Linked DNA regions of Arabidopsis thaliana. The protein of the gene in region 1 interacts with the protein of each later gene in a pairwise test. Each region holds a gene or a part of one and is shown in the gene's direction. Other genes may lie near its edges. The genes, in order: PROT1, AGP27, MHX and ANNAT1.

The links.
Region 2: the proteins of PROT1 (region 1) and AGP27 interact in a protein complementation assay, tested with the Arabidopsis thaliana proteins (one large-scale study listed by BioGRID).
Region 3: the proteins of PROT1 (region 1) and MHX interact in a protein complementation assay, tested with the Arabidopsis thaliana proteins (one large-scale study listed by BioGRID).
Region 4: the proteins of PROT1 (region 1) and ANNAT1 interact in a protein complementation assay, tested with the Arabidopsis thaliana proteins (one large-scale study listed by BioGRID).

What each region holds. Positions count from the first base shown.
Region 1 is NC_003071.7:16,651,985-16,660,681, forward strand, and holds PROT1 (proline transporter 1), read left to right. Parts: upstream 1-3,592; 5' UTR 3,593-4,037; coding exon 4,038-4,137; intron 4,138-4,363; exon of another isoform or gene 4,364-4,508; coding exon 4,509-4,733; intron 4,734-4,811; coding exon 4,812-4,906; intron 4,907-4,987; coding exon 4,988-5,177; intron 5,178-5,271; coding exon 5,272-5,396; intron 5,397-5,540; coding exon 5,541-5,756; intron 5,757-5,840; coding exon 5,841-6,218; 3' UTR 6,219-6,428; downstream 6,429-8,697. Other genes in the region: WLIM2a (GATA type zinc finger transcription factor family protein), read left to right, coding at 7,152-7,286, 7,431-7,530, 7,622-7,659, 7,744-7,833, 8,044-8,283; AT2G39910 (ARM repeat superfamily protein), read left to right, coding at 8,620-8,696.
Region 2 is NC_003074.8:1,927,250-1,933,624, forward strand, and holds AGP27 (arabinogalactan protein 27), read left to right. Parts: upstream 1-1,618; 5' UTR 1,619-1,726; coding exon 1,727-2,104; 3' UTR 2,105-2,435; downstream 2,436-6,375. Other genes in the region: MEE32 (dehydroquinate dehydratase, putative / shikimate dehydrogenase), read right to left, coding at 231-452; NHX4 (sodium hydrogen exchanger 4), read right to left, coding at 3,589-3,951, 4,052-4,135, 4,234-4,435, 4,510-4,611, 4,705-4,805, 4,885-4,951, 5,044-5,090, 5,157-5,351 and 5 more. UniProt on the Arabidopsis thaliana protein: Proteoglycan that seems to be implicated in diverse developmental roles such as differentiation, cell-cell recognition, embryogenesis and programmed cell death.
Region 3 is NC_003071.7:19,521,708-19,530,664, reverse strand, and holds MHX (magnesium/proton exchanger), read left to right. Parts: upstream 1-3,084; 5' UTR 3,085-3,353; intron 3,354-3,769; 5' UTR 3,770-3,836; coding exon 3,837-4,227; intron 4,228-4,313; coding exon 4,314-4,489; intron 4,490-4,580; coding exon 4,581-4,699; intron 4,700-4,790; coding exon 4,791-4,963; intron 4,964-5,111; coding exon 5,112-5,227; intron 5,228-5,345; coding exon 5,346-5,562; intron 5,563-5,649; coding exon 5,650-5,779; intron 5,780-5,849; coding exon 5,850-6,147; 3' UTR 6,148-6,548; downstream 6,549-8,957. Other genes in the region: AT2G47610 (Ribosomal protein L7Ae/L30e/S12e/Gadd45 family protein), read right to left, coding at 119-320, 440-484, 809-811; PHR2 (photolyase/blue-light receptor 2), read right to left, coding at 6,933-7,014, 7,110-7,175, 7,270-7,511, 7,824-8,777.
Region 4 is NC_003070.9:13,222,067-13,229,880, forward strand, and holds ANNAT1 (annexin 1), read left to right. Parts: upstream 1-3,101; 5' UTR 3,102-3,237; coding exon 3,238-3,313; intron 3,314-3,909; coding exon 3,910-4,055; intron 4,056-4,141; coding exon 4,142-4,873; 3' UTR 4,874-5,173; downstream 5,174-7,814. Other genes in the region: AT1G35710 (kinase family with leucine-rich repeat domain-containing protein), read left to right, coding at 1-1,949, 2,034-2,320; PUM9 (pumilio 9), read right to left, coding at 5,258-5,362, 5,436-5,685, 5,764-5,927, 6,078-6,240, 6,718-7,748.

The sequences.
Region 1 (8,697 bases):
ATAAATGAGTATTATTTAAAATCAAGAGGAACACGATCCATTGACAAAAACCACATTGCTCTCAACTTTTAGAGTGAGAGAGAGATAGAGAGTTGAACAAATTCTTCATAGCAACTAGAGGAAGGATCCAAAGGGATCGCATTGATCCTAATTAAGGTGAATTCTCCCCATATTTTCTTTATAATTGGCAAATAAATCACAAAAATTTGCTTGGTTTTGGATCATGCTATCTCTTTGGATTCATCCTTCGGTAGCTTCCTCTTCGATCGTATGGCAAATTTCTCAACTATCATGGATACTTCACCGGGAACTTTGCTGGCTTTAAGATTCCGCAACCTTGTATCTCAAGCCTACAACAGTATACGAACTCTCTTCTTACAATTTTCATTTTTTAAAAGGTAAGTTTCAAAGAATTTTGACCTAATCATGCAAAACCAAAAAAGAAGAAGAAGTCACCTACCTGTTTTTTTTTGGCTTTCTTCTTCATTGGATTTTGAGATCGAATTTCCAATTAAAAATTAGCTTATGAAATTTATATATTTTATGAAAGACGTCATTTTAAAGTTAGTTTAAAATTTCTCTGAAATACATCCATGGCTATTTCCGAAAACTTTTGTTCTTTCAATATATGTATATATATATATATATATATATATATATGTCATATCAATTATTTCCCCAAATATATGGTAGTATAACTTAAAATTACGTTCATTCGAGACTATGTACTTCATGCTTACTTGGTAGTTTGAAATCCCAAATCCCAAGTCGTTGGATCTCGTAAAATAGAAAGAACTTTGACTAAACAAGGACACATCTATTGGTTAATGTAGGACTTAGAACAATTTAACCTCTTACCCTAATCAAATTCAAATACTCAGTTTGTTATATACAATGGTTAAATACTTTCTTGGCTCTAATCGGGTGTTTGGAGGTCTGTAGCACCTTTACACATTTTTTCTTTCTAATTACTAAAAATCGATATTTTGTAACGATCTATTTACACTCCAAATTAGTAAAATCCAACTATTTGAAAATAGCAGCTCAAGATAAATTTGAGGACAACATCATTAGTTCCATTCCATGGTTGACTAAATTTATTTGCAAACATGGATACGCATATCGTACATACGAAATGCATATCTCTACCTACTATTCGTTCGTACAATCATTTTTCTCCCCATTTTTATGAAGTTATAAAATTAATTAAAAAATTTATAAAAGAAGGAAAAGCACAAAACACCTAACTGAATTAAAATAGAAAAACAAACAGAATCATGGGCTCAGCTTAAAAAGCCCAGTATGGACTATGGGATAGGAATATAAAGACTGTGGAGATGGGTGGCTCCTAAATGTGAACAACCCGTGGATATGTAGACAGATACTCGTCTTGAGAGTGCTCCTCATTTACTGCCAGATGCAATTAAGAGTGCTCAAGTGGCCTCTACATCAATCATATGTCTTGAGCTTGAACATATGGTTGCGAGGGAGGGTCAAACACTATTTCAACCCAATGAAACTGGCAGAGAAGCGGTAAAAGAATGTTTTGAATGGACTTTCAAGGACTCAATCATACCTCACTTGCACAACCCAAATTTTTCGAACCCAATATTTTCAGATCCCATAATGACCTATTACCCATTCATCCTCATGCACATCTTGATTCAAAACTTTCTTGTGTGCAATTTTTTTATTACGTTTTATTACAATGTTTGAGATGAAAATGATTGGCATCTACATATCATATCAATCAATAATTGTACTCATAAAACTTTTGTTAGTCAAATTTTTACCAAATTATATTCCTACCAAAATAAAGATGGTCCAAAAGATGTTTTCTCCTTTCTCTTTCTTTTCGGTGTTAAAAGTAATTCAAAGTTTGCTTATAGAATATTCTAGACTTTGTTGTTGTGAAGTGACCTTGAAACTAATTGCGTCCACAGCAGTAAGACTCCTTTATGGTCCATTATTAAGGCACTTCACAGCATCTAGGGTATAAACGAGATATACTTATTCCTAAGTAATTTCTCAACTATCATATAGAAAGGAACGTTTGTTTTATGCATGTTAATATTACTACCAAGTACCAACATCTAAAGCGGTAACTCAACTGCACGAGTGTATGATCAATACAATATCAGTAATATTAGCCAAATCACAATTTTTGCCTTAAATGATACAGGCTTTTGTAACCATGTAAAACTTTTTTTTGGAACTTAACTCAATCTAAAATTGTCATGAATATGTTCTTTTTTCTTCAAAAACAATATTCATCTAGAACCCCACTTGGAACAAAAACTACTGTTAAAGAAAAGGAAACTTCACTATAGTCGACAACTCGATATCCACATCTAAATACTTATTTATAATTATTTTATTGATTGGTAATCTATTTGTATTATATTCTCTGCAAAGAATTTTGTTTTGTGTCATGGTCAGTGAGTGGCATATGATTTCAGTAAACACAAGTCACTTATTATGCAATCATGTACAGATTGATTCAAAACATATCCGTTAATTAATTTGAACAGTTGGAGATGTATAAAGTCTGAGTTGGTACTTCCAAATGGTTTAAGATTTATAGGAAGTTGTGTCCTTTCTGGCTTCTGCCATTAACCTCAGCCAATAGACTGTAACTTGCATGGCTCCGCCTCCAATCAACTTGCTCTCTAGAATATGTTGTACTATTAAATTAAACAATATATCGATAAATTCGATGAAAATCCCAACTGTAATTTTTTCTCATAGTATCAATTTTAAACTTTACTGTATTTTCTAAAGGCAAAAGAACTTTCTATTATAGATAAAAAAAAAATATTAAAATTGTGTAAAAGAGAATGTATTGAAGTTTTAAATGATCGAGAGTCAAAGACATTATCATTTGACTAGAGACTAAAGATGCACATTCTGTAAGATGTTAACTTAGGTATAAACTTTTTTTTTAAGTGTGATGTAGAAGTTTTCCACGCATATCGATCAGCTTAACCTTTTATTTAAACTATAAAACAAATCACTATCAATAGTTTTACTTAACGTGTTTCCTTCTCCATATCAAACTTATATAAATAATCTAAGAAAAACCATAAAAGCCAAGTACAAACGTATATAAATCGGGTATTTCTCAACCTAGATATATTTTGGTAAAGTATTAAGAAAACAAAACTGTATCCAAAATTGGTAGCTTGAGAATAACATATAACTAAATTAATATCGTAAAGATTGAGAAGATCATCACTTACAAACATTCAACAAGGTAGCTTCGACAACAACACAAATCTAATGTGTTTAGATGGTTCCATATTTTTAAATAAAAAATCAGTTTGCAAAACAAACAATTAGTACTAAAATAGTTTGTTTTTTTCTCACTTAAAATCCATATTTCCCTAGTTCACGTACATTTTCATTTATTATTCGTCAGCAAAATTATTATATCTTCTTGAAATGATGAATTCAAATAAAATAAGCAAAACTTGGCAAAGACTCAAAATAGCACAACTAGACAAAAATACCAGCTAACAGAAAGTAATAAGAAAAAACTCAAATAAATGGAAAGACATTAATAAGGCAGATATATGTTTTTTTATATTATAAATTGTTTTTTTTTATAGTATAAAAATAAAAATATCGGCATTCTTATAGGATCGATCTCTCATGCAAAACAACAAATTCAGACAAGAAACCTCAACGGCTCAGACCCACCAATACCAATTTTTTAAAGAGATTTCTGTCACAAGTAAGAAAGAAGCACTAATTACAAAAAAAAAGAAAAAGAATCAATCTTTTGTTCTTCGATTCGATTTCTAATCAATTAGATTGTTTTTGTTTTGTTTAACATCAGTTGCGAATCGAGCTGGATTCTTGGGCTCGCTTTTTCTTTCAATCAAAAGTTTCGATATTAGTGAAGGATAAAATTCGCTAAAAAAAGAGAATTTTTTTTGTTAAAAAAATTATAAAAGCTGGCTTTCTCAAAATTTCTCCATGTGGTCGACGAAGAAGACGAAGAAGACGAAGAAGAAAGAGAAAGTCTCTTAGCAAACATGACCGCCACCGAAGCTAAGAATCGCAAAATCAATGTCGGAGATGGAGATGACGTTGTTGATATCGAAATCCCTGACACTGCTCATCAAATTAGCAGCGGTTTGTTTTTCTCTGTTCCAATTGTTGTTTTGTTTTTCAATCTGGTTTCGATAAGAATGTGTTTGCTTAGATGTGTCGAAAAAAGTTTTGTTTTTTTTAAATGTACGGAGATTGTTTCCCCAATTTCAATTTCTTTAATGCTTTTTTTGATTAAAATATGAAAATGGTATCACCAGGAAGAAGAAGTAGAATCTGACTACTTCAAAATGTTGACTTTGATGATTTTAACGATGACCCTTTTGAAAAAATGTTTTCTTTAATGATCCTGGAACCATAAGATTGGGAAATTTTCTTGCTTTGCCAAAACTCTGCTTTCTATAAACTGAGATCATGTTTTGGGAAGCTTATACTATGTTTTGTGGAATGTGCAGATTCATGGTTTCAGGTGGCGTTCGTTTTGACCACCGGTATAAACAGCGCGTATGTGTTGGGATATTCAGGAACAATTATGGTTCCTTTAGGTTGGATTGGTGGTGTGGTTGGTCTTCTTATTGCTACTGCAATCTCTCTTTATGCAAACACTCTAATAGCTAAGCTTCATGAGTTTGGTGGCAGAAGACACATTCGCTATAGAGACCTTGCTGGATTCATTTACGGTAAATAAAAGACCAAACCAGCTCTCTTAATCTCTTCTCTGTTGTTACCTTCATTGGAATGATCTCTCTTTTTATCAGGTAGGAAGGCTTATCATCTTACATGGGGATTGCAATATGTTAATCTTTTCATGATTAATTGTGGATTCATTATCCTAGCTGGTTCCGCCTTAAAGGTAGTAAAACATTTTCTTCTCTTGATTCTTGATTTCGTTAGACGAGTTAGTTAATTTTGGTTGTGTGTTCTGTTTCTGCAGGCTGTTTATGTGCTTTTCAGGGATGATCATACCATGAAACTACCTCATTTTATAGCCATTGCTGGTTTGATTTGTGCGATTTTCGCTATTGGGATTCCTCATTTATCGGCTCTTGGGGTCTGGCTTGGAGTTTCGACCTTCCTCAGTCTCATCTATATTGTTGTGGCAATCGTGCTATCGGTTAGAGATGGTATAACTAATCAAATGATCATCAAGATTCAACATTACTAATGAGTTTAACTACTGCAAAAATCTAATTCTTGCTTTGTTTTGTTTGTTTCTAGGAGTAAAAACACCTTCAAGAGATTACGAGATACAAGGATCATCATTGAGCAAACTTTTTACCATCACAGGAGCAGCCGCAAATCTGGTTTTCGCATTCAACACCGGGATGCTTCCAGAAATTCAGGTGACTTTTCCCTAGACTTCAAAGTTCAATTGTTTGTTTGTGTTTGCTTTTATGTATTAGTGTACCTTTTGTTCAAGTAAAACCTGCATCTTAAACAAAGTTTGTTTGTTAATCATATTGACACTATAATTTCCACAATGTTAGGCAACAGTGAGGCAACCAGTTGTTAAAAACATGATGAAGGCTCTATACTTTCAATTCACAGCGGGTGTTTTACCGATGTACGCAGTTACATTCATCGGATATTGGGCTTATGGATCCTCAACCTCGACCTATCTACTAAACAGTGTTAATGGCCCACTCTGGGTCAAAGCCCTTGCTAACGTCTCTGCTATCCTTCAATCTGTTATCTCTTTGCACGTAAGTTTCTTAGCGCCAAGTCTACGCTTTTTTAACAAAGACTGTCGTCTCTAACTATATGTCTGACTCAATTCTTTGTTGTAGATATTTGCGAGTCCAACATATGAGTACATGGACACAAAGTATGGGATCAAAGGAAACCCATTTGCGATAAAGAACCTGCTGTTTAGGATCATGGCGAGAGGCGGGTACATAGCGGTAAGCACGCTTATCTCAGCGCTGTTGCCGTTCCTCGGTGACTTCATGAGCCTAACTGGTGCAGTGAGCACATTCCCTCTCACATTCATTCTAGCCAACCACATGTACTATAAGGCAAAGAACAATAAGCTGAATGCTATGCAAAAGCTATGGCATTGGCTTAACGTTGTCTTCTTTAGTTTGATGTCTGTTGCTGCAGCCATTGCAGCTGTCAGACTCATCGCCGTTGATTCCAAAAATTTCCATGTTTTTGCAGATTTGTAATTCATTATATTATATAGTCAATTGTGTATCCTTTATTCTTAGGCAGGTTTATTTCTCCTGTAAGCTTGTATTCTCTCTCTATTTGTCTTACCATTAGAGCCTAAATAAATAAATCAAGTTCTAAAATCTAAAAAGCATATAAAAGACCACTTTCATCATAATCATTCTGAAAATTTACCAACAAAGAATACTAAGTTGCATGATTAAAGTCTCTATTAGAAATGTAAATCATAGTATTAGAGAAGAACATAAAAACACCTAACTTAAAAAAACCTTAATTTAGTGAGATAGAGAAGAGAAGAAACAGAATTGTTGTTGGTTTAACAAAAACCTAATCTTTCAATGATTAGCTGTTTAATTTGAAATTATAACAATAATTTAGACAGGCCAAAGTGGAACCCCACTGTCTCCACCAAAGCTCTAGATAAAAAAAAAAAAACGAAAGCGTTAGATATTTTTTATCAATCGTGCTCCGTAATCATTACCTTTCTTCTTCATCTTCATCTTCACGCAGCGACTTCTTTGATTCTCTCTTTTTATTCTCAGCTCCAATTTCAACCTGCATTTCTCTCTTCTCAATTTTGGGTTTCTTTTTTTGATATCTCATTTGATCAGATCGACGAAGAGGTAACCATTTTGCCGTTTGTTAGTTCTTAACGATTTTATTCTGTTAAAAATCAGATTTTTTTTTGCAATGCTTGTAGAAAAAGATTCGATTTTTGTGTACTGATTGAATCAAAATATGTGGTTATGGATCCATGGATTGATTTGTTTGAACTGATGCAAATGGCTAATGTGAAAAGTCAAGAATGTGTTAATGTAGTTTTTTTTGTTAAACCTCTTTGTGTTGTTGGGTTTTGAAATGTTGTTGTTACAGAGGAAGAAGGTTTGAGCTGAGAGATCTTTGGAGGTAGAAAGAAGATCTCAAAAACGATGTCGTTTACAGGAACTCAGCAGAAATGCAGGGCGTGCGAGAAGACAGTGTACCCTGTGGAGCTTCTCTCAGCTGATGGAATCTCTTATCACAAGGCTTGCTTCAAATGCTCTCACTGCAAAAGCAGACTTCAAGTCAGTTTTCCTCTTTTGCCTTTCCTAAATGTAGTTATTAGTGTTTTGAGAGTTTCATTTAGATATTTAGCTAGAGAGATACTTGATCTGAATTGGTCTTCGTTAAAGTGATAAAGTTAAAACGTGTTGATGGTTTCTGAACAGCTGAGCAATTATTCATCAATGGAAGGAGTGGTGTATTGTAGGCCTCATTTTGAGCAGCTTTTCAAGGAGTCTGGTAGTTTCAGCAAGAACTTTCAGTCACGTATGTAAAACTCTTTTCTTCACCTTCTGGTCCAGCTTTTACATGTGGTCACTTTAATTTTAATCTTCAAACTTTTTTTTTCCTTTCACAGCTGCAAAGCCATTGACTGATAAGCCAACCCCGGAGCTGGTAAACGCTTCTTAACAACGATGTTTTTATTTAGTTACACGACTTGAGATACATGACTCTATTTCTCTTCTTGGTTGTTCTCAGAATAGGACACCTAGTCGACTTGCTGGTATGTTCTCTGGAACGCAAGACAAATGCGCTACTTGCACTAAAACCGTGTATCCTATCGAAAAGGTTAGTATACATTTAAGCTTGTATATGTCATTACCATTGCTTTCCAATACACTTTTGTGTTCTCTCTGTGATTGTTGTCAAGAAAATCACAGTTAAACTTATTTGGATCATTTGCAATATGAGTTACATGGATCCGAATCACATAAAGTTGAGATCTCTTTAATACAGTCAATTCTTATATCTCATTGTTCTGTTTTCTAAAAATTGTAGGTAACTGTGGAAAGCCAGTGTTACCATAAATCTTGCTTCAAGTGTTCTCATGGAGGCTGTCCGATATCTCCATCGAACTATGCAGCTCTAGAGGGAATATTGTACTGCAAGCACCATTTCGCTCAGCTTTTCAAGGAGAAAGGAAGTTACAATCATCTCATCAAATCTGCTTCCATCAAACGCGCTACTGCTGCTGCTACCGCAGCTGCTGCAGCTGTAGCAGCCGTTCCCGAATCTTGAATTCAAATTCTCTTTATTTTTGTGTATGTGCTGTGTTGTTTACATGTATTCGATATGATTCATGTTCTTTGTCTTCCATAATTGAACCAGGCATAAAATTCTCCCAGTTTTCTCTGAGTTTCTTGTTTGTGATACTACTACATCTATAATAACCGAGGACTTTTGGCTTTGATCTTGGTCTTTTGAGCTGGACCGAACCGGAATGTTAGACCGGACAAATCTCTATCGTTACTCGTCGTTAGTCATCTCCGGTCCGGTTCTTCACTAAAGTTAAAAATCCAGTTAAACAGAAATCAATTAAGAAAACACAAAACCCAAATTGAATTGTGTAAAGATATGAACTTTACAAAAGAAAATTGTCAATTTCGAAAAATGTTGAGCACAAGCTCTGATCTTCATGGCCGTCTTCTCCGG
Region 2 (6,375 bases), on another chromosome or scaffold:
CACAATCAATTAAAAATCCAACTACTTCTCAGAACTAAACAAAAATTCTGAAGATCGATTCTAAATAGCTAAACCAATGTTGTACACGAAACATCAAAGTCTTCATCCAAAACTAATACCAAATTTATTTGAAGCGATAAATCTGCAAATTCATCATTACCTATCCTTCTCCAATAAAAACGGAACAGAAAACAACAAAAGAAAACTGAACTAAAGGAAGAATCACTAACATAGACATTGCTAGGTTCCATGCTTCGCCGGCGCCTTTGATCGGAAAATACCACCGGAAACGGTACACTCCTTAGCCGCGGGGACGAAGAATCGGCAAAGAAGCGAGTGGAGAAATCGGCGGCTGGAAAACGGAGATTGGCGACGGAGGTAGGTGAAAGTCGGGGTTTGGAGAGTAGACGAGGAGGGTTGGTGAGACGAGCATTAGTTGAAGAAGCTGCCATTGAGAGGCGACAAACAACAACGACCCTTTGCGGCTTTTTTTCACAACTTTTATTGGATTTCTAAATTTTGGTATTTTTAACGTTTTTATACGCTAAAAAATGGTAGGTGAAGTTTCGATTAGGCGCAAAAAAAAATTATTTATATCTCCTTTTCATTTTCTGATATTGACAATTATATATGTTTGTTTAAATCATCAAGAGAAAATTCGTTATCTGTAATCTGAAGTTAAGAATTATAGCAGAACAAATGACATCAACAATATGTGATTTTGTTCACACAAAAAAGAAAGTCAAACAAATAGAGGTCAGCAAGTTCTTGAGTCTTTAACTACACTGGTGGCCATTGTTGGGCATGCAATGTAGAAAACTCAGCACGTTTTGCACTACAATAGTGGGCTGCGTTTTTTGGGCCCATAGGAAGCCTCTTTAGTGGGCTCGAATTGCATAGCAAACTAAAGAACAATAAATAATAAATAATAATAATAATTCCCACACACCACAAAGCTTTTCTTAACTCGCCAATAAACTTTAGTACAAAAGACAACAAAATATTTGTTTAGGAACAACCCAATATAAAATGTGCTTTTTATTTGAACATCCAACGAGGCAACAACAAACGTAATTAGACCATCTCCATTGAAGGTATTTCATAAGAGTTTTTCACAATTAAAAAAATAAAAATAATGAAAATGAAGGAGAGAAAATGTAGAAAGTTTCTCACTTGAAAAATTTTGAGATATTCTCTACAACCCATCATGACAATTCTCATCTCACTATTGATTCAATTTTTTAACAAAATTACTTTTTTAATCAAATAATTAAATTATAATATAATATTAATATTTTTTTTGTTTTAGAAACTTTGTAGGTTTCTCATGGATGGAGATGCCTTTACTCGTACTTAGCAATATGTATAATTTGCATTAACATAATATTTTTCAGCAAAAAGTAAAGCACATGTTTATTCGAAAATATGTGCAATATATAAGAGCTTCTACTAAAAAGTGAAAACTCGATCTACGCCCATCTTCAAGAATTCAGCAAATATATTTTCTTTTCCACCGAACACATCCTTTAAATTGATAAATAATAATCTTTTTGGAAAAAGGTGAGACAAATTCCATTTAAAATCAATTTATAATATTTTACTATTAGAGCTAAAAGTTTTCTTTTATAGAGACAGTATCATTATTACAACACAAAATGCGCTCTCATCAGTTAAGGAAAAAAACAACTCAGCTTTGATTTGTTCATCATTACAGTAACCAAAAAAGATGGCTTCATCTATATTGCTAACACTCATCACCTTCATCTTTCTCTCCTCACTTTCTCTCTCTTCGCCGACGACAAATACAATCCCATCTTCGCAAACAATCTCTCCCTCTGAAGAAAAGATCTCACCGGAGATCGCTCCTCTCCTCCCTTCACCCGCCGTCTCCTCCACTCAAACCATCCCTTCTTCTTCAACACTTCCTGAACCAGAAAACGACGACGTTTCCGCAGATCCTGATCCCGCCTTCGCTCCATCGGCTTCTCCTCCGGCTTCATCTCTTGCTTCTCTGTCTTCTCAAGCTCCCGGAGTTTTCATCTACTTTGTCTTCGCCGCCGTCTATTGTTTCTCGCTCCGGCTTCTTGCCGTTTCAGCTATATAGGTCATTCATATATTTTAGACCACGTACGTCATTATTTTCATGAGTTTATTTGTCCCCTAAAAATAACGAATAAAATTAGATTTAGTTTGATTTTCAATTTTTTTTTACTATTTGTATTTTTTATTGTTCTCCACTTAACATTTTGTTACAGTTTTAGATTGGTTTAGATGAAAAACGCAAGTAATATATTACGTCAGAACCACATAATTGATGCATAATTAACTTAAGAACTCTGGATAAAAATAAAAATAAAAACTAATTTACCGTTAAGTGATTCAATACACTTTGAGGACTTATACTTTTCTCTTCTTTTCATTTCATTTGTTCGTTTACTATACACTAACTTTTTTTTTTTTTTTTATCGCTAAGCTAAAGAACCTTTTGAAAAAGTTGAAATTACGTTTCAAATTAAAGTGACGTCATATGCATGCTTTACAGTATACTGCAGTTTATAGTAGTATCAAAATCAAACGTTCCAAAAATTTGTACTGTTTACATGCAAATAACACTTGAGTAATTATATGTAGACTACTAATTAATTTCGACATAAGTTTATGTAAAACACCAGTTTTTTATGATTATTTTTGTCTTAATCTTGAGACGTGTTTATGAACTGAATGAATGTATTACTTTGTGAATTAACGTATTTAAGTATAGTGCATTATTGCATAATTCCTAAAATGCCACAAGGTTAGAGGCGCATGCATGTGAGTTACTGCATATGCTGGCCTCACGGCTAAAAGCAACAACAAAAAAAGGTGCCTTCTTTTCTTGTCCCACACTTTATCTTATTTCTGGGGTTTCAAAGTCTCAATATTAAAATTAATAATATCTAGGTGAGAAGAAATATGTAAAGGACGTTTCTTGTTTTCACATTATAGGGTTTTATGCGTGAAAGATTGTATATGTTACTATAAGGTTGATTGATACCCACTCACTTTGTCCTTATATACGTGCAAGCATAAAAATAAGATTAGATTTCTCAAAAGTTATATTTATATATAAGTTATCAGTTTATTTGTATATTGTCAACAAGTTTCTTGCAAAACCCAGTAATAAATTATGAACATTAGAAAGATTCGTGTCCCTTTGTTTTGTATAAGAAGTACAAGAAAGTGTACACAAACTTTAGATTAAAAAATCTGCTCACGTCCCACCAACGCAAACTCGAATCTCCAAACGCAGACGCTAACGTCTGCATATGAGCTAGGTGTACTCAAGTCACCCCTATATCAGTCCCTATTTACATGGACAGTTACAATTTTTCAACAAAACCACAAACTCAAACAACGAAAAACGGACCGGCTTTACAAAATCACACCACAAACCAAAAAATCACACCGGGCAAATAAGAACTCACATCCAAAACCATTATACCAAAACTGGAGGCAAAAAATTAGAGCCGGCCCATGTTGCGTCTGCGTCCAACAACGCCAAAAAACGCGATCAACAAGTCAAAGATCTTACTCATGTCATTATGGTCATCAAGGTTCGCCGTTTTGTTCCTTGTTTTCTACTTCTTCACTCCATTGCGGAACACTATTCTCAATGGGTGAACCTGGAACTACTGGTGAAACGCCTCGGCCACCAAATATGCGACGCATAACTGCGTTATCGAATTTCCTCCAGTAATGATGAATGGCCCTGGACGGAGATTTCCAGAACATTCTGAAGCTAACATGTTGTTCAGGGTCGTATTCTGACTGGCCTTGGGTACTGAGCAACGGCTCATGGAGGATCGGATCGTGGAAAGAAGATCTTAGTGTGATCTGCAGCGCGGTCGTGGAGGACTGTTTTGATGAAGGCTGCAAATGTTTGACTAACGGTTTGGTTAGCAATCCAAACACCTGCAAAAAAGGTTAGAGATTAGGTTACGTGTTGGATAGGCTAAACCCGATTTGACTTCAGTAGGAAGCAAACCGGTTTGAACAAAGTGTTGAAACGTACCACAGTACTGAAAAGAACAACAGTGATGGTACTGGTGATCATGATAGCGTTCCCAAGAACCTTGGTGTGTCCTGAAGTTGTGAACTATGATGTAACAGAGAGAAGAGATTAAGTCATGGGAACTTATTAAAACCCAAAGATCACTTTTTTATCTTTGTTTCTTGTAGTTCACGGATCAAAACCTGGTTATAAGCAAGAGCCATTGACACTGCACCACGCATCAGACCAGCCCACCAAATGGTTACTTGTTTCTTTAAGTCTATTTTCTCATCCGGTGAAGACTTTGTTAAATTGGACAAGAAGGAAAGTGGAAACACGAACGCGGCGCGACCCAGAAGAATAAGCCCAAGAAGTATTGAACTAACTCCAATCGACTGACCAGGACTGCCAAAATTGTTAAACAATATTATGAAAATGAAACAAAAGATATTGATGTATTATCACACTCTAAGTCTCACCTGTTGCGTACAACGTCCCATTTCTCGATATCGAGAGCGTCCATTCCAACGTAAAGGAAGATAAAAATCTCAGCTAGAAATGACATTGCAGCAAAAGTATGTCTACGCCAAGAAAACGTATACAGTTTAGTCAATCAAGCACAACAAATTAGTAGAGTTATTTTCTAATTATTGGGAGAAGAAAAAGAAACTTACTTTGTAGTGACCTTGGATTTATCTGTAACATTGTGCCATGTATAGTGAGACATAACAATCCCGCAGAAGAACACAGTCAAGATAGAGCTCAAGTGGAATAGCTGCAAAGGATATATGTATCATGTTTTCATTTTCTGTTGGAAAAAATGTAACCAAAACGTTTCAAATTTTTCTTATTACCTCTGCCAACATATATGATAAGTAAGCCAATAGCATCATAAGTGCAACTTCACGATCAGTAGAGTGCCTGATGTTACAAAACAAAACAAAAACAAAGCAAAAGGATTATTAAAGAAAGGGTAAAATCACATTTTTAACCATCAGTAGATACGAATATACCTTCCTATATAGAGCTTCTTGATAACAAAAGCACTGAGCAATCCAGCCTAAAAGAAAACGAGTGAGAATTTTTCGGGTTTAGAAATTTGAGGAGCGGAGAGAAAGAAACTTACTGCAACACCAAGTGCTGTGCTTAAGATAAAGAGGTAAAAAAAGTTTCCAGCAAACTCCAAAGCTATGGCTGAATTGATATTTGTGAGGTCGAATCTCTGTATTGCATTGAAGAGCACGACCGATGTGGCATCGTTCACTACACCTTCTCCAAAGACAAGACTGTACAAGAGAGGTGTCTCGTCTTGATTAAGCACCTAGATTTAACAAAGCGTGCAAGTTAATTTTTGATTAGAAAATGTAGTAGAATAATATCTTTGAATGTTTCAGAAAAAAAGTTCTTACTTGCAAGGTGCAAACAGAGTCTGTAGCAGAGAATATTGCTCCAATGGCTGCAAAATCATCAGTACAGATTTAAACAGTATGAGACTTAATGAATAAGAACTTGAAAAGGGTTTTCTTTGTTTCAGGGTACCTAGATAGTCCGCAATGGTAAGATCACCGATATTCATTTTCTCGAAAAGATGTTTAGCACCTAGCCATAACAAAAACAAAACCGGAAACATCATCAAAATATATGAGACTCATGATATTGAAATGTGGGAGTTGATTGAGATTGGTTTTTTACCAAATGAGATGATAACAAATGAAATGAGAGTTCCAATAGCACCAAATAACATAATGGTCATGAAGTTGCGAAAAAATTGCTTCTTCTTAACCTGAAACCTGTAACAAAAAAATGTGTTACTCAATTCCGACTTTCAATTTTTCATGAAATTCTATATAAAAAGAACTTACCCTGCGTTGAATATAATTGGTGGAAGAAGATAAATAAAGAAGAGATCTTCACTAAACACAAGAATCCTTGAGCTTTTGCCTCCACTTATAAGCAAGATCACAATCCCAGTACACGAACCCTATTTTTGCGTAATCCAAATTTAGAATGTTTCTAAGCAATGTGTTTAAAGATTTGGGGAAACAAAAAAAACGAAGCTTACAATGATAAGAGCAGTGATTGACTCGTTCATCCACCGAGTCTCCTCAAGCAAGTGACCAAGCACGATGCAAGCACAAAGCAAAGCTACGAACAAATTCATGGAGACGACCGATGCATGATCAGAAGCGAAAAGAGCCTCTGTTTTTTCCAGCATTGTGCTTAATCCGATCACCATTTCCAAATCTCAGCTTTAAGAGTATATTTCCTATATATATGTAAAAAAACACGAAGCGTGATTTGTGGAATTTAGATTTCTGATTGAATTAGTATCTAAAATTGTATAG
Region 3 (8,957 bases), 2.9 Mb from region 1:
CTTCTTATAAGGTTACAGCAACACAAGATTTACCAGAACTGGTAAATATTTCAATAATAAATTAACAGCAGCAAGTAGTAAATGTTTGAAGAGTAGATTGAGAATGAAATAGACATACCAAGATTCTTGTCAAGAGTCTTGGTGAATTGGTTAAGAGCTGGAGGGACCTTCAACCTCTGCTTCAGGATCCTCTTTTGCCTTTGAAGACGGATGGATTTGGGCCATTTGATGTAGCGAGAGAGATCCTTCTTAGGAGGTAAAGCTCCACCAATACCGAATTGCTTAGGCCTCCTCTCGAATAGAGGGTTTGAAACTTTCTCCTGGAGAAATCAGAAATCAAAACACAAAACTTCAGCAAGAAAGAAAAAAACAACAACAAAGAACAAATTGAATGTTCGAAAACCTAAAAAAGAAGAAGAGAATTGGAAATGAAACATACCGCGGTCTTCTTCTTAGCAGCTACCTTCACTCCTTTCTTCGGGGCCTAAAACCAAATCGTGGCGTGATTAGATTGATAAAGTAACCACAGAACATTTGTGACATTGCTCTCTACGCAAATTTCTAGATGGATTCATAAGCTATATCAACTACCAAATCTATCAAAAGCTAAATCCAAAGCAGATAAGCAATGATGGTGTTACCACCGAGAGGAAATCGAAACCCATGTGTGTTCATCTTCAAGCGAGAATGCATCCAGGAAACACTAACTCTATCGTGAAGGATCTAATTCGATGATTCTACTATGAAAGCAAACAACTAACAGATCCCAAATGAAACGAAATGAAGATGGAAGGAAGAGAGATGATACCATTGTCGTCGTCCAAAGCTCCAACTCCAAATGGTTTCTGCGAAAGGACGGCTGAGTCGAAGAGTATCGTTTTCTAGGGTTTTGCCTTTTATATATATACCATGTACATTGATAGGGCTTCTCTATTTTCTCTAATTAAAATAATAATTAAAAATTGCCAGCAAACCGTAATTACAAATATACCCTTATTAATCTTTCAATGTGTTACGGTCTTTTTAAACCGGTGGTTAACATGGCGGAAAAAATGAGAAAAAACCGGTTTAACATTTTCCACCAGTGATGAACTTTCTCAAAAGAGTTTATTATATACGAACCTAGCTACTAGCCAAAGTCTTACTTTTCTCAAAACCAAACGTTAATGAAACTACCATTTGATGTATACATATGGGTAGAAAACAAGCCACCGACACCTTTGTCACTCATTGGGTGAGCTCTTCCTAAAGAAGATGGTCTTTTCCAAATTCCAATTCAGCAGCATGTGTAGTAGTAGTTTCGTGGATCTGTATGTATTCTCGACCGCGGTTACAACTAACGATTTATAACTAAGGCGTTTTAGTTTTACGAATAGTATTTCGACCTCGTGTTATCGTTCCCATATGGGAGATTTATATCTTTCTCTATGAGATGTTTGTGAGACTGTATGATTTTGTACATTTGAGTTTTTGGAATTGTTTTCGTCAATTTAACAAAAATAATTGGTGACAACAAAAAAACTATCAGTCTTAGTAATATGTGACGTATTTCTTATCAAATTTAGATTGACCATGTAAAGAGTTTAGCAATTAAATCCAATTACATTGCTTGTGTACTTATTCATGTTGTAATAAATTGTAGATTTACAACTATGACAATCCTATATAACAGAACAAAAACAAATACGTATTTGAACTTTCTAGTTTACACTTTACACGAATTACACGTGATAAATAACAGGTAGATTTATGTCAATGTCATACATAGCCTAAATCAACTAAAAAGTAAACAATATAGTTCAAATGTATATATATACTAGATAAGGTCCGCCTATTTAGGCGGGTGTACCCGAAATTTTCAAATACTCGAACGGATATAAACTTTAAAACCCGAAAAACTCAAACCCAAACCCGAATAGGTATGCAAACATATCTCAAATATAAGTATATATTAGTTATATTTATACTTATATATAGAAAATATTAGAATTTTTTTGGATATTTTAGTTATTTTTGTGTATTTTTAGATATATTCAAGCAAAACTACTCATGTTGTTTTGGGAATTTTTGAAAATTTCAAGTAATTTAATAGATTTGCACACAAAATTTGATATTTCAATATATAAATAACTCGAACCCGAACCCGAACCCAAACCGAACCCGACCCGATAATATTTTTTTGTTTAAAAATACATACAACCAAAATCTTATTTCTACCCAATTTCTTTAAGTAATAATTATATTAATAAAACCTACAGTCTAATTTCTACAGCAATAAAACTTACAGCTACAGTCATCACACCTACAACAAAAATTCTACAGCAGTAAATCTACAGTTACAGACAAACCAATCACCCACGTAATCTCGTAAGTTAATTTTACATCATGCAAATTAATATTAAATGAGTTAAAATTAATAAATGAAAATAATTGAAAAGTTAAATCCTATAAGCTAAGCTATTTTTCTCAAAGTGTTCTATTTTCACTTATGATTACATGAGTTAAAGACAAATTTGTTAATTTTGCTTTTGTTGAATAAATGTTAATTGTTTATAAATATATAGACATATAAATTAGTATATGTAAATTTGTTTACTTTTTAAGATTTTCTATTTTTTTAAAGAATAAAAAAGTTAAATTTTGAATGACACATGTAAACATCTAATCGTTTGACTTGACACTGTGCCAAGTCAATTTTGAAAACCATACTTTATATAATAAGATATATATATATATATATATTTTTTGTCCTCATAGTTCAATTGTATATATCTCAATAATTTTTTTAATCAGAAAAAAACAAAATACATATATATCCACTAATTCTGATTTGATAATGCGTTCACACTTCATATTTATCATGTTTATCTTTTATAAAGAAAATAAATTAGTCAGGTCAGGTTTTTAGTAAGATATATGTTTATGATAATATCTAAACTCGAGGAGATGATAAAACTAATATTACTCAGGTTGAAATTAAAATCTAATGCTTATAAGGATGAAATGAAACAAAATTCAGGGAGTAAAAAGATATAAAAAAAACTTGCAATTGAGGTCTCATATTCTTAAACCTTACCAAAGAAAGGCGAGATTAATTAATCCTAGTTAGTCAAGTAAATCATCCAATTAGATAAGATCACGTGTCGGTCGATGTACGCTTGAATCCTCGTTTCGATACAATAATTGAAGTGTGTCATGCAGAGATTAGAGAGATGTGTATAAATGGCTCCCAAGTCTCCACCGCAATATCCAACGCTTGACCGATTCCAATCAGCTCCTCTCGATTTCCGTTTGTCGGAAAATCTCTCCCGTGATCGGCGTATTGTGAATGCCGCTCACCGAGATATTCTCCGGTACGTCCGCATTGATCAATTTCGTCGCGTGGCTCACTCTGTTTCATCTGTTCTTTTCTTATTTTTTAGCTATTTTTGTTGAGATTTGTTCGTTGAAAATTATGGTTTTGTGAAAAGAACCCAACTTGTTTTACTGAACCCATGATGAAAGTTATAATCTTTTGATCTGGTTACCTCTGGATTTTGATTACGCATACAGTGGAACATGCAATTGTTATTAGCATTGGTTATAGATTGGATTTCGGTTACATGCCATTGGATCCTTTGCAATGTTTAGTTTGTGTTACAGATTCTCTGGAAAGAAATCTTTTTGCATGTTCCGTTTGTTTCGCATCCTCTTGATACTGTTCGATCGATCAGGCTACAGGTTTCATCAGTTTCTTCTAAAAGTTGTAAGCTTCTTTTTGGTGTGCCAGATTCTTTTCCCCAGTGAGGACAAGTGTTCAGTTGACTTATTAGGAGGTGGGGTTTGAATAAGTTACAATGGCCTCAATTCTTAATCAAACCCAGGAGTTGCAAGAATCTTCTAAGGTTCTTGGGCATTTAAGATGTGAAAACTTCTTTCTATTCCCCGGAGAAAACACTTTGTCAGATGGTTTGAGGGGTGTGTTATATTTTCTCGGTCTTGCCTACTGCTTTATTGGGTTGTCAGCCATCACTGCACGGTTCTTCAAGTCTATGGAGAATGTCGTGAAACATTCCCGTAAAGTGGTTACAATTGATCCCATTACTAAAGCTGAAGTCATCACATACAAGAAAGTTTGGAACTTTACTATTGCAGACATCAGTTTGTTGGCGTTTGGAACTAGCTTCCCTCAGATTTCTTTGGCTACCATCGATGCAATACGGAATATGGGGGAGCGGTATGCTGGAGGTCTGGTGGTTGTTCCTTTCTTCCTTCCAAAACTCTAGTTTTTACTTTTAAGTTCATGAATTCTTATATCATGTTTTGTCATATAGGTCTTGGTCCTGGAACACTTGTTGGCTCAGCTGCATTTGATCTTTTCCCCATCCACGCTGTTTGTGTCGTTGTGCCAAAAGCTGGAGAACTGAAAAAGATATCCGACTTAGGTGTTTGGCTAGTTGAGCTCGTATGGTCTTTTTGGGCTTACATCTGGCTATACATAATCCTCGAGGTAACTGTGAAAAGCGGTTTAAACAGATTCTGTTGAGTCTATACTCTATACTGATAAGGTCTAAAAATCTGTTTCTTTTCACGTCTCACAGGTGTGGTCACCAAACGTAATTACACTTGTGGAGGCATTATTGACAGTACTGCAATACGGATTGCTTCTAGTTCATGCGTACGCCCAAGACAAGCGATGGCCTTACTTGTCTTTACCAATGTGGGTTTCTTTTCCAGACAATAATATTAGTTCCTTCAAAATGGATTTCTACTAAAGATTGTATCTTTGTGTTTGTATTTGATACTTGCAGGTCAAGAGGTGATAGGCCAGAGGAGTGGGTTCCAGAGGAGATTGATACATCCAAAGATGACAATGACAATGATGTTCATGATGTGTATTCGGATGCTGCTCAAGATGCTGTTGAATCGGGAAGCAGAAACATTGTTGATATCTTCTCTATTCATTCAGCTAACAATGATACAGGTACTAAGTATGATTAGGCTGTCTATTCTATTGATATAAGATCAGTTTTAGCGTATTTGCTTATTTCCAAATCTATGTGATTCCCATATTTATCTCTGGTAGTATATTGTTATAAATCAAACTTTCCCTGTAACAAACACTTTTGCAGGGATCACTTATCATACTGTGGCAGATACTCCACCCGATTCTGCGACTAAGAAGGGTAAGGCGAAGAATTCTACTGTTTTTGACATTTGGAAACATCAATTCGTGGATGCAATAACGGTAAAAATCTTCAACTTACCAAGTGTTTTCTAGATTCTTCTATATCCTATTTTGGGCTTTTGATCATTATCAACACATCTTTCTTAACTTGTTTCTCTTCCTATTCGTAATCAAACAGTTGGAAACATCAGAATCAAAGAAAGTGGATAGCATTTATCTTCGAATCGCGAAATCTTTCTGGCATTTACTCCTCGCCCCTTGGAAACTGCTTTTTGCATTTGTGCCCCCCTGCAACATTGCTCACGGTTGGATCGCTTTCATCTGCTCTCTCCTCTTCATCAGTGGAGTAGCCTTTGTTGTCACAAGATTTACTGACCTTATAAGCTGTGTCACTGGTACACACCCTCACCGCTTTCAAAAACTGAAGTTATAAGATTAAACATTTGAGCTCTAAAACATTAGAAACTCTTTTCATCTTGCAGGAATAAACCCATATGTGATAGCATTCACAGCACTCGCAAGTGGAACTTCATGGCCAGACTTAGTAGCAAGTAAAATCGCTGCAGAGCGACAACTAACCGCAGATTCAGCTATTGCAAACATCACCTGCAGGTAAAAATCTCAAAACCCTTTACAAACATTGAAGATCTTTTCATGATCTTTTTGGTGATAAATTATGCAGTAACTCGGTGAACATCTATGTGGGGATTGGAGTTCCGTGGCTGATAAACACAGTCTACAACTACTTTGCATACAGAGAGCCTTTATACATAGAAAACGCTAAAGGATTAAGCTTTTCGCTTCTGATATTCTTTGCGACATCAGTGGGATGTATCGTGGTGCTTGTGTTGAGAAGGTTGATTATAGGAGCTGAGCTTGGAGGTCCAAGGCTATGGGCTTGGCTTACTTCTGCCTATTTCATGATGCTTTGGGTCGTCTTCGTTGTTCTTTCTTCTTTGAAAGTTTCAGGCGTCATATAGAAGAAGCAACAAAAGGAAAAACCCCATGAGTAGAAGAAAAAGTCTTAGCTTACTTGCACATGTCTCAGTTTTTGTTTTTCTTACTTGTTAAGGGGGTTTTATATAATTATCAAAGTTCAAAGGCAGTTGGCTAAATATGTGTTGCAAATATAAATCATATTGACTATGATTTTGGAGGCTTCATCTCTAGTTAGGAGGTGCATATATGGAGTACATTTTCATTATCCTGCAGTTTTTTTTGTTTTTTTATTTGCAGTGTTACCAATTTGTGGTACATATATGCAAACTTTCTCTAAAGTCAAGCAAATAATCTTAGTCGATTAATATAAACTTTTATATGTAACTTTCATCCAAGTAACTAGTGTTTAGTACGGTTCTTTAATAAGTGTTGTAGAATTTCTAATGCCCATTTACCACGAAGTGCATATTCTAGTTGCTGCTTGCTTCTGATATTAGTGACATCTTAATATTCCTGAATTTAATATTCATAGACACAACTACTTCGGTTATTTTCTAAGATACATTCTCAAGTCTTAACCACAAAGGAGAGCGTCTCAAATTGTAGAGACTTTTTATGGAATGAGTATCCGAAATGTTTAGAACAGGGAACGGACAACTTGATTGAGCCAAAAAAAGAAGCTTAGATTTTATTCTCCTGACACTCAAGTTTCAAAAGAGAGCAGTAAAGTCCTGTCCGGATAGCAAATTAATCCACCATACACCAGAGTAGGGCAAAGAAACAGGTCGCTTCTAACTTTTCCGGTCACCTGAAAGTTTTCAAATGTTTAAGCAAAGGCACCGGTACAGGCTGTAGCCGGACCAGCCTCGACCTGCGTCTTCGCTGAGCTGTATTTCTTGGTTATAAACCTGTTCCAAGTTTAAACACACATCAAAGAGAGAATCAGACAAAATACAAATTCTACATTTCTACTAGGGGGCAAGTTAAGAAAGTAAGAGCTCACCTGAAGAAATCCCTCCATAGCAACTCATACATTAACCAGTTGAGTCCTGTATCTCCCGGTCCGTTCCTGAGAAAATCATTTCAAAGAATGATAATTAGACACATACACTTACTATGTTCACCAGAGTTTCCTGAAGTGTTTTGCGTTTCTGAGACATTACCTTGGAGTTGTGGAGGTGGTTGATGCGGAGATTGTTTTCTTCAGCTCATCGAACATGGAACGAGGAGAGATGCTTCCCATGGCTAACCAAGGTGATATCTTGCAAGAGAAGTTTGCACCAAAGACACTGTTGTTGCCTCCTTTCTGGTTTCCCTTGCTCAACCGAGCCTGACAATCCGCGGCAAAGCTCTTTAGTCTAGTCAACGCCTCTGTCTCTCCTCCAACCATTGTCGGTTTCCCCTCCTGAGCAGAACAAAATGTTAACTCCTAAGAGAAGGTGTAAGACAGTAAGAGCCGCAGACGAATATTGGACCTAAAGAGAAACGTTCATTGATCCTAAGAAGAATCCATGGACCTTCAAACAGCACTACTACTATTAACACTTGATAGTACTTATCCCTATCACTCTATGGGTAAGTAGCTCTTCTCCTATAGAAATGGAACCAATTGGCAGAGTTTGAATTATAAGTCCCACAAGTTTCCACCTTTTCTAAATGCCTAAACCTAGATGGATAAAGGAATCAATCAAGCTAAGCAAAGATGAAGAACTCAAACCTGGCTAGTCCTAGGAGTGGGGCTAATGCCAAGATCCAGGAGAGAAGGAATATCGCCAAGCTCAACGTCTCCTCGAGAGGGCAAGCTTTTCAATTGATCAAGCGCTGCGATAGTCTTCCTAATCTCCAATTTCTGGACTTTATCCTTGAAAGCTCCGTAATTTGACGGCAAGTCTTCAATTTTGAAGGGCAAATCATCCAAATGATAGAGAGTGCTTCCCCAGAAATACTTGACTTCAACGCCTTCCTCCTTCATCGCGGTCTCTATCTTCCCTTCCGCTTTAACCTCGTCGTGAGACACTTCTCTGTGAGCATAAACCGCGTCAGCTCCAATCTCCTTAGCCAATTCCACCAAAACAGCTTCAGGTTTCCCGACACGGACAACTAGATTCGACCCTCTGGCTTGGAGATTCTTCCGGAGCTCCGAAACGGACTCAATCAGAAACTGGGCACGAAAAGGCCCCGTTTTGTCGAAGCCGGAAGAGGACTTGCCGTAATCTCTAGGGTCGAAGCAGTAAACGGGCAAAACGGAGACGCACTCGTCGTTGGCGGAGTTGAGACACTCGTTGTCGTGGACACGGAGGTCATTGCGGAACCAGACGACAGCAGCACGGCGGAGAGCGGCGGCGGAGGAAGGATCAACGGGACGACGAGGGACGATGGAGAGAGGGGATTGAAGAGGGTTAGCAGCGATGGTGGATTTGAAAGAGATTCTGGAAGAAGGAAAAGGAGAGACAGAAGAAAGAGAGAGATGAGTGAGAGAAGAAGCCTGCGTAGGGATCTTAACCTTGTTTGGATGATGAGCAAACAATTTGAGAAATTGAGTCGAGGATGGGAACAAGGTCAGAGAAAGAGATGCGATTGGTAGAGAAGAATGGAAAATGGCAAGTGGGTTTTGTTCTTCTGCGGATTTTGTTTCTGGGTTTAGGTTTTCTTCAACATTCGAAGAATCCATTTTGTGTGTGTGTGTGTGTGTGTGTGTAGAGAGAAGAGAGTGAAGAAGAGTGTGAGATGAATTGATAAGCTCTCGTCGATTTTCCCCACACAATTTCTTCTGTTTAGATCAAATATTTTAATAAAATGTATTTAAAATATATCGTAGCACTGTTATTTTATTTTCAACTTTAGAAATATT
Region 4 (7,814 bases), on another chromosome or scaffold:
CAAACTTACCGGTTCAATTCCTTCTTCCTTCGGAAATCTCAAGAACTTGACGTATCTTTATCTTTACCTGAATTATTTAACTGGTGTCATTCCCCAGGAGCTAGGCAACATGGAATCCATGATCAATTTAGATTTAAGTCAGAACAAACTTACAGGTTCTGTTCCTGATTCCTTTGGTAACTTTACCAAGCTGGAAAGTTTGTACCTTCGTGTTAACCACCTCTCTGGTGCGATCCCGCCAGGAGTAGCAAACTCTTCACATCTAACTACCTTGATACTTGACACCAACAACTTCACTGGTTTCTTTCCTGAAACTGTTTGCAAAGGTAGGAAGCTTCAAAATATCTCATTGGATTACAATCACCTCGAAGGTCCTATCCCGAAAAGCTTGAGAGATTGCAAGAGCCTGATCAGAGCAAGATTTCTAGGAAACAAATTCACTGGCGATATTTTTGAAGCTTTTGGGATTTACCCAGACCTTAACTTCATTGATTTCAGCCACAACAAATTCCACGGTGAGATTTCTAGCAACTGGGAGAAGAGTCCAAAGCTAGGTGCCTTGATCATGTCAAACAACAACATCACGGGTGCTATCCCAACAGAGATTTGGAACATGACACAACTAGTTGAGCTGGATCTATCTACCAACAACCTCTTTGGTGAACTTCCAGAAGCAATTGGAAATCTCACGAATTTGTCGAGGCTACGACTTAATGGGAATCAGTTATCTGGAAGAGTTCCTGCAGGTTTAAGTTTCTTAACCAATCTTGAGTCTCTTGACTTATCCTCAAACAATTTCAGCTCAGAGATCCCACAAACCTTTGACTCCTTTTTAAAGCTTCATGACATGAACCTGAGCAGAAACAAATTCGACGGAAGCATTCCCCGACTATCAAAGCTGACTCAGTTAACGCAACTTGATCTCAGCCACAACCAGCTCGACGGAGAAATCCCATCACAACTAAGCTCCCTGCAAAGCCTCGACAAGCTCGACCTCTCACACAACAATCTCTCAGGTCTCATTCCAACAACTTTCGAGGGCATGATAGCGCTGACGAACGTCGATATATCAAACAATAAACTCGAAGGTCCGCTTCCAGATACTCCAACGTTTCGAAAAGCAACAGCAGATGCATTGGAGGAAAACATAGGCTTATGCAGTAATATTCCTAAACAAAGATTGAAACCATGCCGTGAGTTGAAGAAACCGAAGAAAAATGGCAACCTTGTTGTGTGGATATTAGTGCCAATCCTAGGAGTACTCGTCATTCTCTCTATATGTGCAAACACATTCACCTACTGCATTCGGAAACGAAAACTACAAAATGGAAGAAACACAGATCCTGAAACAGGAGAGAATATGTCCATATTCAGCGTTGATGGCAAATTCAAATACCAAGATATCATCGAATCAACAAACGAATTCGATCCAACACACCTCATCGGAACCGGAGGATACAGCAAAGTCTACAGAGCAAACCTCCAAGATACAATCATAGCCGTTAAACGACTACATGACACAATAGACGAAGAGATATCAAAGCCAGTTGTGAAGCAAGAGTTCCTAAACGAGGTAAAAGCATTAACAGAGATCCGTCACCGCAACGTTGTGAAGCTCTTCGGCTTCTGCTCCCACCGCCGCCACACATTTCTGATCTACGAGTACATGGAAAAAGGAAGTTTAAACAAACTCTTAGCCAACGACGAAGAAGCTAAGCGACTCACTTGGACCAAAAGGATCAACGTCGTGAAAGGTGTGGCTCACGCTTTATCGTATATGCACCATGACCGAATAACACCGATCGTTCACCGTGATATTAGCAGCGGAAACATCCTTCTCGATAACGATTACACAGCTAAGATCTCCGATTTTGGTACAGCAAAACTTCTAAAGACGGATTCATCAAACTGGTCCGCCGTTGCTGGAACCTACGGCTACGTTGCACCAGGTAAATCTAAATCCCTAAATCTGATTTTGAGCTTATGAAATTTAAATCACTAAATTCGAAATTGAACTTGATTTTTCGCAACAGAGTTTGCTTACACGATGAAGGTGACGGAGAAATGCGATGTGTATAGCTTCGGGGTTTTGATACTCGAATTGATAATTGGGAAACATCCGGGAGATTTGGTATCGAGTTTGTCTTCGTCTCCAGGAGAAGCTCTGTCGCTAAGAAGCATTTCCGATGAACGTGTATTAGAACCACGGGGACAAAATAGAGAGAAGCTCTTGAAGATGGTGGAAATGGCTTTATTGTGTTTACAAGCAAATCCAGAATCTCGGCCAACGATGTTGTCAATCTCCACTACATTTTCTTAGAAACTGAACTTCTCCATCAATTTCTATGTTATCATTGTGTTTATCTATACAGCAACAGTAATCTCTGTTGGCTTTTGTTCTCTGTTCTTGCTTGTGTTTGCAGGAAGGGGTGTCGACTCTCGTTTCAGCTTTTGTTGTTGTTGTTTGGGCTTCTCGGCCTGCTTCAGCTTTTGTATGTATTGGGCTGCGCCCTTGTTGGTCTTTGGGCCTTGTTTGTTTTTATCTTTGCGGCTTGCGTGCCATGTTAGGCCTTTTGGTCTTGTAATGTGTTTGGTTAATGGAAATCTATGAAGTTAAAAAAATGAAAAAAAAAAAAAAAAAAAAAAAACTGTTAAAAGCATTTTTAGATAATGGTCATTGTGTTACTCCTCACATATGAACATTCAAATAAAGTTTTGGATACTGTCTATCTGTATATCGCCAGAATTAGTAAGAGATTTCTTATGCATAGTAGGAGATTAAAAAAAAAAATGCATAGTAGGAGATTTGTAAAGAAAGAAATAAGTTTTTTTTTGTATAATGAGTTCTAATGGACATCACGTTTGCAAGTGATAATAAAAAAATCTTACACTCTTGTACTCTGTAACGTGTTAAAATAATACAAAATGGATTATAATAACGAAATCTAAACACTTATAATCTTGCGGATGATTTTGTGACAACCAATGAAACCGTTAATGCGAGATTACGATAGTTTTTTATGAAATCATGATTTGTGCATAAAGTTAAGCAAATGCTAAATAATTCATAAAGTGTAAGAAACACGTGGCAGAAGAATTAATAATTCGTTTGGGATATTTTTGGTATATACGGACAGGCCACGTCGTGTCCTAAACCTCTTAGCCTTTCCCTTTATAAGTCAATCTTGTGTCGGCTTCGACTCCCAACATACACAAAACACTAAAAGTAGAAGAAAAATGGCGACTCTTAAGGTTTCTGATTCTGTTCCTGCTCCTTCTGATGATGCTGAGCAATTGAGAACCGCTTTTGAAGGTATAATAGTTTCATGATTCTTCTTGTTACGTTCTCTGTTTTTGTTACCTTCTTGTTTACATGATCAGTATCCACTTTTTGTAAAAGTGATGTGAATCTGTTGGTTTTCGTTTGGTGGGTTATTGTATGATCATTTGTTTTGATTGTTTTTCATGTGGATCGATCTTTGTTTTGGTCCGATGATATGAATGTTGTGTCGGTAGCGTTTTATGATCATTTGTACGATGATGTAGATCGAGATTGTTCCTTCATGGATCGGATCAGTGACAATGATCTCCTTTCTTTGTGTGATCTATAACAATCTTTTGTGTTAGTGATGAAGTTTTGATTGTCTGATCATGTTGATAATGACAATGATTACATTCACACGAGATCTTGATTGAGTTGTGTTTTGATTCTCACTGTCACAGATCTGTCTTCTTAGTCTAGATCTATAATGTAGTTACGTGTAATACAACACTAAGATCTTAAGATTTATATTTTGTGAATCTGTTTGACCGGTTCTGTTATTATGGATCTGAAGTGTGTGTGACTTGGATCTGAAGTATGTGACTTTGATGGTTATGTAAAGTGAATCTGATTCGTGTTTTTCGCAGGATGGGGTACGAACGAGGACTTGATCATATCAATCTTGGCTCACAGAAGTGCTGAACAGAGGAAAGTCATCAGGCAAGCATACCACGAAACCTACGGCGAAGACCTTCTCAAGACTCTTGACAAGGAGCTCTCTAACGATTTCGAGGTTCGGTTTTCGGACTTTTAAGTATCGACTTTTAAACATCTTGTGTGAAGTCATTGTATTCTAATTGGTTTTTTGGTCATGGACAGAGAGCTATCTTGTTGTGGACTCTTGAACCCGGTGAGCGTGATGCTTTATTGGCTAATGAAGCTACAAAAAGATGGACTTCAAGCAACCAAGTTCTTATGGAAGTTGCTTGCACAAGGACATCAACGCAGCTGCTTCACGCTAGGCAAGCTTACCATGCTCGCTACAAGAAGTCTCTTGAAGAGGACGTTGCTCACCACACTACCGGTGACTTCAGAAAGCTTTTGGTTTCTCTTGTTACCTCATACAGGTACGAAGGAGATGAAGTGAACATGACATTGGCTAAGCAAGAAGCTAAGCTGGTCCATGAGAAAATCAAGGACAAGCACTACAATGATGAGGATGTTATTAGAATCTTGTCCACAAGAAGCAAAGCTCAGATCAATGCTACTTTTAACCGTTACCAAGATGATCATGGCGAGGAAATTCTCAAGAGTCTTGAGGAAGGAGATGATGATGACAAGTTCCTTGCACTTTTGAGGTCAACCATTCAGTGCTTGACAAGACCAGAGCTTTACTTTGTCGATGTTCTTCGTTCAGCAATCAACAAAACTGGAACTGATGAAGGAGCACTCACTAGAATTGTGACCACAAGAGCTGAGATTGACTTGAAGGTCATTGGAGAGGAGTACCAGCGCAGGAACAGCATTCCTTTGGAGAAAGCTATTACCAAAGACACTCGTGGAGATTACGAGAAGATGCTCGTCGCACTTCTCGGTGAAGATGATGCTTAATCAATCAATCCTCCACAGAGAAACATAAGCTGCTCTACAGCTTCTGTTATCTCTTATCTCCCTCTCTCTCTCTTTGATGAGTTTCAAATCGTTTGATTTTGTTTCTACAAAAACCTTGTTTGTTTCTGTTGTGTGTTTTGAGTTCCTAAATAATGCAAAAGAGAGAGACAGAGAGAACCAGTGTGGTCTCTTAAGTTATATATATATGAAGAGCATTGGCCTAAAACACAGACTAACAAGTAGTTCTGGTTTTGACAAAAGTTGTTGTCACTACAAAAAGGGAGACCAACAACAAAAAAGTTAAGGGCATTGTTTTCTCTAAAGCCCTATCCGATCTTGAAACACAAAATAACAACAACAACATTTTTTAGTTACTAATCAAAGTCACTTCTTCAAGATGGTCTTGGAGAAAATCTTCTTGCAGTAAGGGCTCGAGTGTAGTTTCCCGTACCTGTAAACCTTCGCCACCAATTTAGCACGAACAGGTCCCTGCATCAACCCCAAAAGCCATGTCAAGTTCTGTTTCTAAAAGCTTATAACATATGTATTGATTTGGACTTACTTTGGTTACAGAGAGAGCAGTTTGGATCACATAGTTCGCATAAGGATCTTGCAGAAGATATTCAAAGTTTGGAACACAGAGGAGCTCACGGACGATCTCAGCTCGACTCTCTGGATACTTCCTTAGACACTTCTCAATCACGTGGCTACTAAACTTCTGAGTAGCTAACTCGGCGTAGTGCATTCTAAACTGAACCAGCAACTTCACTGCAGAAACTTGTTGATCTATTAAGTACTGCACCACATAGTTCCTGCCAAATTTCATTAACTATAAGGAGAGTTTTTCAAACTATACCAAATCTTTAAGTCTAAGTGGAGACTAAATTTACCCAAAAGGATCCTGAGAAAGGTGAAGCGAGTTTCTTGATATCTCAGCGACGAGTCTTTCACGTTGCAGTCCAACAGAGTTTGAAATGCAGCATTGAAGAACACAGCATCCGTGTCGATGAATAGCAATCTCAGCACAGTACTTAGTAGCAGCTTCTAACACAAACTGACACCAAAATTCACAACATTAATCAGATCTTAAGTAAGAAACAAAAACAACAGTCTCAGCACATTACTTTGTAGCTGCTTCCAACTCAAACTAACACCAAATTTCACAACATTCACGAAAGCTTGAGTATGAAACAAAAGATGTAACCTCATTGTCATTAGGGCCAAGGGTTTGCAAGCAACTCTGTATCACATGGTTCCCATTCAGATCTTTGACAAGAGCAAGAAACCCCGGTTTGAGACCTGACTTCACCAATGCAATCTGCTGTTTTGTTTTCACAGTTTCAATCATCTTCTGCACAACCCTTGTCCTGTTTAAATTCAAAAACACATTATCCACAAATCAGAATTCAAAAACATATTATCCACAAATCAAAACCAGCAAATTTCTATGCTTTTGGCCAAAAGTTCTCAGCCTTTTGTAATCAGAAGTAAGCGGATTTAGAGGGTTTTGCCCAAAGGTCTCAGCTTTTTTTTTCTCTCTTCCTGAAGCAAGCAGTTTTGGTTTGTCCAAAAACAGCAAAAAGTAAAAATAAAAATTCATTCTTTTCTACCAAATGTTGCATTCTTTTAGTGATAGACTGATAGTGATGGCTACAAAACTAATGCAGAGATTTCAAATATTTCCATAAACAGAAAAGATTTCATCTTCCCCAAAAAAACAAGAAAGATCTCATCTTAATCCTCAAAAGCTGAAATGTCTCCATCTCTATTGAGCTCGTGGACTTGTTGACTAAACTAATGAATCAAATTTACTAAAAGTTGATAAAAAAAAAGGTGAAGCTTACCCATAAGTGTTAAGACAGATTCTGATAAGCTCCCTTGGATTTGACGTTAACACACTCACAATCAACGTCCTCTGTTCCTCATCACTCACATCAAACAGCTTCTGAACAATGTAATTCCCAAAAGGATCCATGGAAAGTTCAACGACATGGTCAATGATTGCAAGTAATATAACCTTAGCTTCATGAAATGTTCCTTCTTCGACCAGTTTCTGCAAAACTCTGCAACCAATCTGATCTTTCGCCATTAAGTTCACAGATCCATAAATCTCAACCATGGAGACGAGATCATTATTGCTTTTTGGACTCATCTTCCCATAAGAGCCTTGACCGATTAGTACTGTATCTTCTAGATAAGAAGCTCCAAGCTTTCCAGAAACCTTCTCGTGAAATGGACTCAGCAGAGAACTATCCTCCTCTGGATAAAAACCTCTAGAAGCTTCCATGGCGGCTAGGGTTTGAGAAACCCTATTATTTCCTTCAAACATCAACGAACTTATGAGAGCATCGTTGCCTCTGAGAAAAGGAGGACGCTTTATGGGTTCATGGATCTGATCTAAGAGAAAATCTCTGTGATTCTTAAGAGCTAACATCTCTTCAAATCCGTTTAGGTTAAAGGAATCTTGACGGCCAAGTAATCTCATCTCTCCCGGAGATGGAGAAACTCCATGAAAATTGTTGTTTTGCAGACGAACAGAGGAAAAGTTACGAAACCCATCATGAATCTGAGAAGCTCCGGTGAGATTCTGGTCAAACCCAGAAGACCCATGAAGAGTTCTAGCCCCAAACTCACTCGGGTCGACCCGGAACTGTTCTTCGGGTTTGGTCCAGATACTCATGTCACAAGAGATACCCATTTTGTGAAGCTTTTTACACAAATCCAGAGCTTCAACACTCTTGTGGTTTTTCAGAAATGGGTTTGTGTCGAGACTCGGTAAAAACCCATCAGAACCAAGAGGACGATGATCGGAAGCTCCTCGGAAGTTGAAGTCTCCATTAAAACCTCCAAAACCCATGAATCTCTCTCCGAACATGAAAACAGAGTAAAGGTTACAAACGAAGAAGGAGAGAGAAGAGAGAGTAAAGCCAAGGAAACAATA